Linked DNA regions of Coturnix japonica. The protein of the gene in region 1 interacts with the protein of each later gene in a biochemical or structural test. Links are inferred from orthologs where the notes say so. Each region holds a gene or a part of one and is shown in the gene's direction. Other genes may lie near its edges. The genes, in order: AP1G1, CLINT1 and SYNRG.

The links.
Region 2: the proteins of AP1G1 (region 1) and CLINT1 form a complex in vitro, tested with the Homo sapiens proteins (2 studies listed by BioGRID). The link is inferred for Coturnix japonica from reciprocal best matches to the Homo sapiens genes AP1G1 and CLINT1.
Region 3: the proteins of AP1G1 (region 1) and SYNRG form a complex in vitro, tested with the Homo sapiens proteins (2 studies listed by BioGRID). The link is inferred for Coturnix japonica from reciprocal best matches to the Homo sapiens genes AP1G1 and SYNRG.

Annotation. Positions count from the first base shown.
Region 1 is NC_029526.1:17,664,332-17,667,983, forward strand, and holds part of AP1G1 (AP-1 complex subunit gamma-1), read left to right. Parts: intron 1-1,214; exon of another isoform or gene 1,215-1,326; intron 1,327-2,313; 5' UTR 2,314-2,316; coding exon 2,317-2,517; intron 2,518-3,638; coding exon 3,639-3,652. UniProt on the Homo sapiens protein: Subunit of clathrin-associated adaptor protein complex 1 that plays a role in protein sorting in the late-Golgi/trans-Golgi network (TGN) and/or endosomes.
Region 2 is NC_029528.1:12,966,813-12,970,564, forward strand, and holds the start of CLINT1 (clathrin interactor 1), read left to right. Parts: upstream 1-1,575; 5' UTR 1,576-1,762; coding exon 1,763-1,803; intron 1,804-3,752. UniProt on the Homo sapiens protein: Binds to membranes enriched in phosphatidylinositol 4,5-bisphosphate (PtdIns(4,5)P2). May have a role in transport via clathrin-coated vesicles from the trans-Golgi network to endosomes. Stimulates clathrin assembly.
Region 3 is NC_029534.1:7,340,084-7,342,940, reverse strand, and holds part of SYNRG (synergin gamma), read left to right. Parts: intron 1-1,121; coding exon 1,122-1,253; 3' UTR 1,254-2,857. UniProt on the Homo sapiens protein: Plays a role in endocytosis and/or membrane trafficking at the trans-Golgi network (TGN). May act by linking the adapter protein complex AP-1 to other proteins. Component of clathrin-coated vesicles.

The DNA of each region.
Region 1 (3,652 bases):
CACATAAGTGATTATTAATAAAGACATTGTTATTAATGATGATGAAGTTACTGCCTGTGGGCTGCAGAGGTGTGTGCCTGTGCCTGGTAACTGTTGAGTGACGGCCTGAACCTCTGAGCACCTGGGGAAGGACAACCCAGCCCTGGGAGCTCAGGTGACGGAATTGAGTTGTGCAACCAGGAGCGGCGGAGCCTGGCTGCACCTCGCCTGGAACTCATTGAATCCTAGAATCATAGAATCACAAGGTTGGAAAGGACGTAGAAGATCATCTCGTCCAACCATCCTCCCTTTACCATACCTACAGAAAAGTACTAAGCCATGTCTCCTTGCTCCCTATCCAGGCACTGAGGGCTGACTGCCACTGGGGAAGGATCTCTGGTTGGAGATTCCTCCTAGTGGAGTCTTTCCTGTGGGCCTGGGTCTTTGGAGATGGGTGAGCTCCTTTATTTTCCCGTTGGAATGCCATCCTGTCTGTGCTGGTCCCTTTGTTGTTACACTCCTGTATTGCCCTTCCACTGCATTAATCTTTCCGATTGTAACAGCCTGCAGTGGTGTTTTAATTTTATTTCAGTTTCTTCCCCGTTTTCCAGTGTCAAAAGCAGTTTGACAGTGTGTTTGAAGGGGAGGGGCTATGGAATGGGGACTGGACTTAAAATTCTGGGCTTTAAGCGGGATGTTTTGGGGTTTGTCAGACTGTTACATAAAAAGAACACTTTGTAGCAACCACACACAGGGAGAGGCTGGGGAAACAAGAGAAGGGACTCTTGGTAAGTAATGTGGCACAGCGATGTTTTAAATGCTGGGTGCCATGCTTTCCTCCCCTGTTTCGGAAAGGATGCAGGAGAACTGCGGACCATGCAGACAAGGCAATAAGCATAACCAGTCATGGATTGGTTCAGATGTGGGTCTGCAGGTCTCGGATTGAAAAGGTGGGGGAGGAGTAGCCATGGAAGTGTGTAAAACTAGGAGTTCCTCAGTATTACTAACTAGGTAATTTGTTATCATCTCCATTGAACTATTTGGGGCATCAGCTGCAACAAGGACTTGAAACTGCAGAACAAACAAATGAACCACCTTCCCTGTGTTGTGCTTGGAACTCCAGCTGTGACTTGCAGAATATTGTTGATTCTGGAAGTTCACCTGGATTCAAAATAAAAACAGAGTCATTTGTTTATTATTTTTATTTTACTGGGCATTATTTCTTTTCGCTTTAGAAGTTCTTATGCTGCAAATTGTTGCAGACTGCAATAGAACAGAAGTGTTTGTTTGCATGCTGACCTGGCTCTTCCAGCCTTCCATGGGATCCTGCTGCTGTGGTCAGACCTGGTAGGGCCATTGTGTTTCTGATCTTCTTCCCGTCTGTGCCCATGTAGGACACTGAAGAACTGTTAGATGGTGTTCTTCATGTCAAAGAGCGATCTGAGTTGAAGTGAGGGACCAACTTTAATTAAGAGGAACTTTTATAGGAGCCTCAAAGACCTCTACCAACACAGCACATCGAATAGAAAGCTAAACCTCAACAGATGTTATGAATTTAGAGAGGTGGCATCATCTTACCTGATTCCAGAATAACTTCTGAAATAGACAAAACTCATCCTGTAATTTTTTACATTCACCTCCAAAGATACGTGCCCACAGACAGGCTGTGGGGCTGCATAGCGGGCTGTGACTGTCAGTGTGTTACCAGCCTGCAGTGCCATTGTGCACTTATGTTTATTGCTTTTTGCTAAATTACTACAGAGTAAAGCAGCACGTCCAGACAACAGCTGCCAACAAAAAAGCACATGCTAAACAGGAGCTCTAGCTTACTTTGCAGTAACTCTTGCATAGTTACCTAAATTTTACAAGACATTTAAAACTGTGTTTTCCTTTTCTTTTTTTTTTTTTTTTTTAATAGTTCAGTCTGAAGTTTCTCATTCTGAAGTATCCTGTGCAAATTATTGGGCAGTTGGAATGTGAGGGGCTGTTTGGTCAGAAAGAGCCAGAAAATATGAACATGCCTTGCTGAGTAGTGTTCTTACCTATTCCAGACTGGGAATCATGTAATGTTCACTTTATAGCTAGTTCAAAGCTTAGCAATTTCTGTTTCTCGAAAGGCAATTGTGAAAATTTCTGTTCCTCGAAGGTACAGTAGATTCCTGTGGCCTTTAGGTTTGTTTTTAACCATGCTGCTTGGAGCTGGCTGCCTTTTTTTAATTCTTACATTTATGTAGTTGTAAGGGAAGAAAGAAGAATATGCTAAACTGAGACCATAATGAAGTTGTCAGATACAGTAGAAGGCTTATAGATCTCTTTCTTTCTTTCTTCTCCCAGAGGATGCCAGCCCCCATCAGACTGCGGGAGCTGATCCGGACCATCCGGACAGCAAGAACCCAGGCAGAAGAACGTGAAATGATTCAAAAGGAATGTGCTGCTATTCGGTCATCCTTCCGAGAGGAAGATAACACATACAGATGCAGAAATGTGGCAAAGCTGCTGTATATGCACATGCTGGGATACCCTGCACATTTTGGACAGGTAGGTTAGTCTTCATAGCTGCTATGCTATGTGTGTACCAGTATGCTTTGTGTGTTTTGAGTGCATGGGCTAGTTTGGAGCAAGACTAGTTTTGCTTTTTGGTGTTTTGAGGTCTGTCCTCATACACCCTCTGAATCTGTGTTAGTTAGTTTTGACTATGATAAAGGCACTTTCTACTTGGAACCTGTTCTTATGTATTTTGTTATGAAACTTAGTCTGCTTTACCCAGGCTGTCTGCTCCTTGCTGCAGATGTGTCTTGCAGAGCAGTAGTTAAACTGCAGTCTGGTGAGTATGAGTATGTGATTAATTACCTGTTAAGAGTGAGATATTTCAGTGTGTAGTAATGTTAGTGGCTATATTTTTGAACTAAGAACATTTTAAGGTTAAAAATTGGTTAGCAGCTTAACTGAAGTCATCTGAGTGTAAGTTGGCAGCTAGATGTGTTATCTAAGGAATTTCCTTTATACTTTAGAACAGAGTTGATATATTTCTACGTGACGCAAGGGATGTTTGTAGTGGCTACAGTGCATGTGAGTTTACTAAAATTTCTGAAGTTTGTACAGAAGTTACAGAATTACAGGACAGCATAAAAACTTAAGTATATCTGACTGTATCTGTATCTAAAATTTAACTAGTTACAGATCATAAACATCAAAATTGTTTTTGACATCTTAAGAGAGCAGTGATTCTCTCCCTGGGTAGATGTACCCACTGAAGTGCAAAAAAAAAAGAAAAAAATCCAGTGTATATCAAGCATGACGTATTCTTGAGGTTTTTCTCTGGATTTCCAAGTGTTTGTTTTTTTTTTAAACTGATGATTCTTGTCCATATGTGTTATCTTTCTCTTCTGTGCTCTGATCTCACTTAACTGGTGTATATGAGGTAATGGAAGGTCAACAGTGGATTGTTTCTTCAAGACAGCAGACTTACTGTTGATTTTGCTACTCCATTGCTGGGTTCTTTGGGCAGGTCATTCAGCCTTTGTTTTCCATATCATCAAAATGGAAGTAAAATGTACTTTTAAAAATATACTACCAGAGACCTACATTAGTTAATATCAGAGTTCAAACTCTTCTAGCTGAGAAATAGTTTAAGCTAATTCTTTTTCTTTTTTTTCCAGTTGGAGTGCCTCAA
Region 2 (3,752 bases), on another chromosome or scaffold:
AAAACTGAAAATGAGAAAGATATATTTCAGGACTAATCCATTCACATTCACCAGTTCTTGCATTATTCATATAAACACATAGTACTTACTGTTAGTGAGAGGATGCTACATTGGATAATTCATTCAAGATGTTCTTTTGCTCAATTAGATTTCCCACAGTATTCACTGAGATGTTCAGAAGACAGAAGGTGTGAAAGTACCTGTGTAAAAAGTCAGAGGGATGTCAGAATATGAGCTGGTGATCAGCTGTTCAGCTTTCTTGATCAATTCAAAGAGCTACCAACTATCAAAAGATGCAACTATTACTTGACCTACAAGCTAGAATCCATCTTTCTCATGCTTTTTCGGGTCACTTTAAGCAGTTAAACCAGAAGGCAAATGTTTATGATTATATGCTGCTCTTAGATAAAATTTACAAATAAATACTGCAGTTAGACAAAACACACAAATAAATAGATATGAAGGATATCAAGAATAAATTACAGACTAACCATGATACCCAGGCACTCTGCTTTGTCCTGTGACTCGCCAACAGAAATAGCCAACAAATTTCCACTTCTCTTGAGAAGAAAGTCCTCCCTCATATGTGTTCATTCAAAACTCACAATGAAAACAAATTGATAGAGCGTGCAAGTGTGTGTAAAGAAATCATCTCGGAATCCTGGTCATAATGTCACTTAACTGACTTCACTTTTCTTCACTAGGAGAGTGGTTAGGCCCTGGAACAGGCTGCCCAGGGAGGTTGTGGATGCCCCGTCCTTGGAGGTGTTCAAGACCAGGTTGGACAGGGCCCTGGGCAACCTGATCTAGTAAATGTGTATGTTTGGTGGCCCTGCCAGGCAGGGGGGTTGGAACTACATGATCCTTGAGGTCCCTTCCAACCCAGGTAATTCTGTGATTCTGTGTGATTCACTTCTTTCATCCAACGAGCTGCAATGGCTGTTCACTGCTCCCACAAAGGCAGTATTTAAAGATGGTCTTCAATGCTTGGTGAAAACTCTGCTCCAGGTGAAACCTATGTTAAATTAGTTAATATGGATAAGGAAGTTTTAACATACAAGATTGTCCCTTGTTTTCTGCCAGTTTCTGGTCCTCTTGCAGGCCTTGAACCCAGCAAGTTCAGCTATAACTCAGGCAATGCACTGACCGGTAAAGAAACAGTCTGTAAGGCAGAATGCCATTGTGTAATGAGCTTTTACATCCAGTCAGACACAACTTTTCCACCTGTGTTTTGAGGTTTAACAGCAATTCGTACAGACCTTCCCTACGTTTGTGCTTCACTTGGCAGCCAGGTGAGAGTTACCCACAGGTTTGGAGCTGTGAGGGTGGTGTGAGGGCTGTGGCTGCTCAAAGAGAGAACAAAAGCTCGTTTCCACCGCCCTGTATCGCTGCGTTTCCTTCGGCCCTGTCTAAAGGAAGGGAGATGGCGTGAGGTAACGCGAGGTGAAGCGCCGCCGCCATGCTCCCGTGTGGGAAGAGCCACGCACTACAACTCCCGCCATCCCTTGCGCGCTGAGACGTCTCTCCGCACCCAGACTCCCAGCAGGCTTTGCGGAGCCGCTCGGCAGGCGGATAGACTACATCTCCCAGCAGGCAGCGCGCTCCGGGGACCGTCCATTTCCGGGAACGGCGGCGCGTCCCTCGCTTGGCAGAGGCGGCGGCTGCCCGGAGCGGGCCTGGCTCGGCGGCTCGGTGTGAGGAGCCTCCTGGGGCCGACGGCAGAACGCGGTGAGACCGAGGAGGTCTCCGGACTATCGGCGCCATGCTTAACATGTGGAAAGTGAGGGAGCTGGTGGACAAGGCGTGAGTAGAGCAGGGGCCGGGCGGATGGGGCGGGGGGGCTGGTGTGGTTTGGTGGCGTCCCCTCAGTCGAGCCTGCTCTTCTCTCCCCTTCCTCCCCCTCAGCCTCCCCTCTCAACATGGCCGCTGTCCCTCCTCCCCCTGCTGAGCTGGCTGCCTCTCTCCCATTCCGTGCCCGGCCGACCCCTGCCCTCACTGTTCTCTTTCCCCGCTCCCTATGTGGGCCAGGTGCCCCCTGGCTGCCCCCTGGCTGCCTCCTGGCCCCATTGCTGGGCAGCGGCAGCTTCTAAGCAGCGTGTGGCCTTCCCATTATGGCAGGCTGCCTTCCAGGCCCTGCTGGGCTCTTTAGGGCCTTTCAAGCTCCCGACGAGCTGTGTGTCCCCTTTGGATGCCCCCCCTTATCTACTGAGGTCTCGGGGCTTCCGTGCCTCTTTCTATCTGTGAGCCCTCAATGTCAGTGTGCTGCCTGCTGGGGACGTGTCACTGCAGGAGGAGGAAGGGGTGTGAGGAACCACCTGTATGGCAGGGAACCACCGGAGTGCTGCCAAAGCTGCCACGTTCACTCAGTCCTTTTCCTCCTTGCTGAGGCCCGAGCCCTGCTGCAGTTACCATTGACTCACCACCACCCCTGGGCCTTTCATTCCTCCTCCTGGAGGAATGAAATGCACCATCCCCACCCTTACACTTTTTTTAGTAATTCAGATATTTGCAGGTTTACTTCCTTGTAGTTATTGCCCTCGTGATGTTGCTGTGACGTTATCGCTGTGTTTTGCAGTCACGCTTCTTTTCCACGGGGAAGGAAAAAGCCGTGTGGTGGTAGAACATAATGAAGATCACATTTTGCCTCCTTAAATAATATGTCTTTAGGGGGGAACTAGGAGTGCTTTTCCATGAGCTGTTAACTTCTTACAGGAGCAGTTTGCTGAAGTTTTGGAGGTGATTACACACTGGATGAGTCTGTGTGTTCTAATATCTGTGTCTGGGCTTACAGGTCAGACAGCATATCTTTCAAAATCAAGGTTCCTTTTGGGGCTTTAAAAAACATCTGGGAGCCCAGGGAGGTTGTGGATGCCCCGTCCTTGGAGGTGTTCAAGACCAGGTTGGACAGGGCCCTGGGCAACCTGATCTAGTAAAGGTGTATGTTTGGTGGCCCTGCCAGGCAGGGGGGTTGGAACTACATGATCCTTGAGGTCCCTTCCAACTTGGGTCATTCTGAGATTCTGTGATCTGAACAGTTCTTAACTGTCTTCTGTTATATGGAATAACCCATAGATACCCATCTTAAGTTCCAGGACTGAAAAACTTCAGGCAGCATTGACTTTTGCGTACATACCTCAGTTTGTGTAGTAGTAGCATTGTAACACCGTTGCTATATTAAAAATGCTTACTTTCAAGAGTATTTTTGTAAGCTGTTGAGCCTAACAGTGCATCACAGTCTTTGCTGGAAAATGCACTGGGTTTCCAAATTAAGTGCAAGAAATGAATATTTCAAATTATCAAAATGTTTGTTGAGTAAACCTCTGTTTCAGGGAATTACTCTGTCCAAATAAAGAAAATTATTAATTTAGAAAAAGAGGGGGGTAAAGTGCAGTGCCTGAAGAGTGAACCGTATTTAGAGACATCAGAATCAATAGCCTCATTGTGTGTGGTTCAGATTTGCCGTAATGTCTTCGGTCTTAAGGCCACAACTTACAAAATTCTTTATGGAGGAGATTAAGGGATGTTATCTGCCTTTCTTTACTAGGAGAGTGGTGAGGTCCTGGAACAAGCTGCCCAGGGATGTTGTGGATGCTCCGTCCCTGGAGGTGTTCAAGGCCAGATTGGATGGGGCCATGGGCAACCTGCCAGGCAGGGAGGTTGGAGCTGCATGATCCTTGAGCTCCCTTCTAACCCGGGTCATTCTGTGATTCATAAATAACTGCTGATCCTGCATCAGGACTGGACTGGACTTG
Region 3 (2,857 bases), on another chromosome or scaffold:
TGAACGTGTAAAAAAACCCATTCTTTATAGAATCATTCTTAGTTGAGTGTGAAAGGCTGAACTGCTAGCTGGCCTTCAGCTGTCATTCTCAATTGTACCAATCATGAACCCTTTTCTTCCAGTCATTTTTTTTTTGTCACTGTTAATACTTGATCCGATCAACTAACATGCTCTACAGCCTCCCTTTTGTCTCGTCTGCATGCTCGTACCTCGTGAATAGCTTTCTGGTTTTGTGCTCCTTCTGTTGTGTGGTAGAAAAGTCCCTGCAGTGAGTTTCTGAGTTCATAGCTGCCTGCTTGTCTGTTGCAGAAGAGGGGGGAGCTGTAGGGGTTTCTGCTACAAAAACTGACTTTTGTCTATATGCAGCAGGCAGTGGCATTTTTAGAAGTCTGTGCAGGAAATCCAGAATCTGAGAAACATGTTTAGAATATTTTTTAAGTAGGTAGTTGTAAAGCACTGGAAACTCTGCTGAAGTAGGAACAGCTGCTAAGTGTTCTCTTTCAGAACTGGGAAAAAAAAAAAAGTCAACATTATTTCACAAACAGTCTAGATTTATTTAAAAATAAAAATTCAGTTCCCCCTCACATTTAAGCAGTATCTCCTAGCAACATACGTGGAGATATTTTAAGCTTGTTTGTGGCTTCATGCACTCCAGTCATAAAGCAGATTCAGTTACCAGAAGAAAGTGGACCAAACTCAGCCTGGAGTACGGTAGGATAACATTAGCACCAGCCTCAGTCACAGCAGGGTCTGACCCAGTGGAGGCAGCGTGGCAGAACTAGCTTTGTTCTGGAAGGTGTATGGAACGCAGTGAGTTGCAAGTGTCAGATGGGACACTACTGATACGTGGTGTAACAGACAAGTGTGCATCAGGAGTATGCATACAGGGCAGTATGTTTTGCCCACCTGCAGACATTTTGCAGTCAGAAGAAAGCATTAGTTTGGCTGCTGTGCTTCTGCAAGTGAAGATTGTTTATTCCACTTTGGAGAAAGAGGGTCCAGGCTCTACCATGATTTACCATTCTGGGGTGATCGTCTGCGTTATGTCCATTTTCCACTCTAGTTTCTGGAGCGTGGAAGAGGTGAGACGGTCACACTTGTTTCAATTCTTGTTACTCTAGGCCTTTAATTCGGAAACGGATAATTTTAAGCTGGCGTATGGAGGGCACCAGTACCATGCGAGCTGCGCAAACTTCTGGATCAACTGTGTGGAGCCAAAGCCTCCTGGTCTCATTTTGCCAGACCTGCTCTGAAAGCGGTTGAGCCAAAGGTGGAGGATCAGGTGAAATGATAACATGCAGCGCTTGGGTAAATTGTGTGATCGAGTGAGTGGAAATGCTTCTTTGTTTGAAATGCTTCGTTTTGGCTTTTGTACAATCACAAGTTCAAGCCACTGTCACACAGAAATTCAGCATGAAGAATTCTCCTGGAAATGGCTGGAGTTTCAGAAATATCTGGGAAAATTTGTCAAGTGGCAGAAAATGTGGCATTTCAATCTTTACCAAGATGGATGCGAGCTGGCCTTTGTCAAACAAACAAGCCGTCTGCTAACCAAAGGCAGACCTCAGAGAGGACATCCTTAGTTTCCAAGGTGAACTGGAATGTTAGATTGATTTGCATAGAAATGACTGCTTAAGTACTCCAAGTTCATACTTGCAAACAAATCTTTTCTTAATGTTTTTGGTGTCTGGACCATGATGTTTTTCTTTAAATATTTGCTGCTCTTCTATTACATGCACATAGTGCACAAGTTGTGGTTACTTTCAAGGCAAAAGGAATTACTGATAAAGGAGGAAGTAGATGGTAGAGAGACATTCTATATTCATGCTTTTACCACTCTGAATTGTAAATTATGCCATATTTAAACACATAAGTGGTTAGTACTGGAAGATAAGAACTTGGAAAAATTGTTTAAGATTTCCCCTTTATATCCAGGTTCTTTAGTGCAGACAGCTGGGTTTGAGAACTTGCAATCTGTGCTGTTCTGCTGCAAACACTAGGTCATGTCCTTTCTTGGACTTGTCCTAAACTACAGGTTGGGTTCGTTTTGCCCAGTGCTTTGGTGGTTGTGTGGCTGCATCTCTGTTGAAAATTGGACTCCACTGTTGCCACGTGTCTGTTCCTGTATATATTACCTTTTTGTATGTTAACATGCTTTCCTTGATGAGATGCCTGCATGTAACATGTGCACTCTAGTGCTGTCTGTAATAATGCATTTTCCTGACTCCCAGAAGTGGCAGCACAGGTGGGCCTCAGCTCCTGCTGGGGACAGGTGTGATCTCACTCTGGAAGCTGGCTCCTCAAGCAGGCTGTCTGCTGAAGCAGCCTGTTGTCAATCTGCTGTTCTGTTGCTTTCAGGAGGGGGACCTACCTAAACAGGACAAAGTCTATTGCAGACTATTGCAAAGTGTTACCCAGACATCTGAAGTACCTGACTCTTTCTTCCAATACAACATGCAAATGACAGTACCACCAGCGGCTACTTATGGAATTTTAAGCCCAGTGGAAGCTCTATGGCATTAAGAGCTTTACCTCTGTACAGTTCTGCTCAGTTTGCAGAGAATGCAGCATGGTGTGTATCCATCAGGTACAACTTGTTGCTTAGTTCTTTGACTTAAGTCAAAAGACCCTTTTCTCCAAGGATATCAATAGCTTTTCCAGCTTTGCCTTGCCTCCATCGTGAGTAACCGACACTGACCCAAAATTATTTGCTGAAATTGAAATTATAAAGAGGAAAATGTTGCCTCCTTGGTGGAAGAGGTCAGAGAACACTTCAGGATAGTTCAGGGCATTCACAAGTCAATGGGCCCCAGTGGGATGCAGTGCTGAGGGAGCTGACCGATGTTTTTGTGAGGCC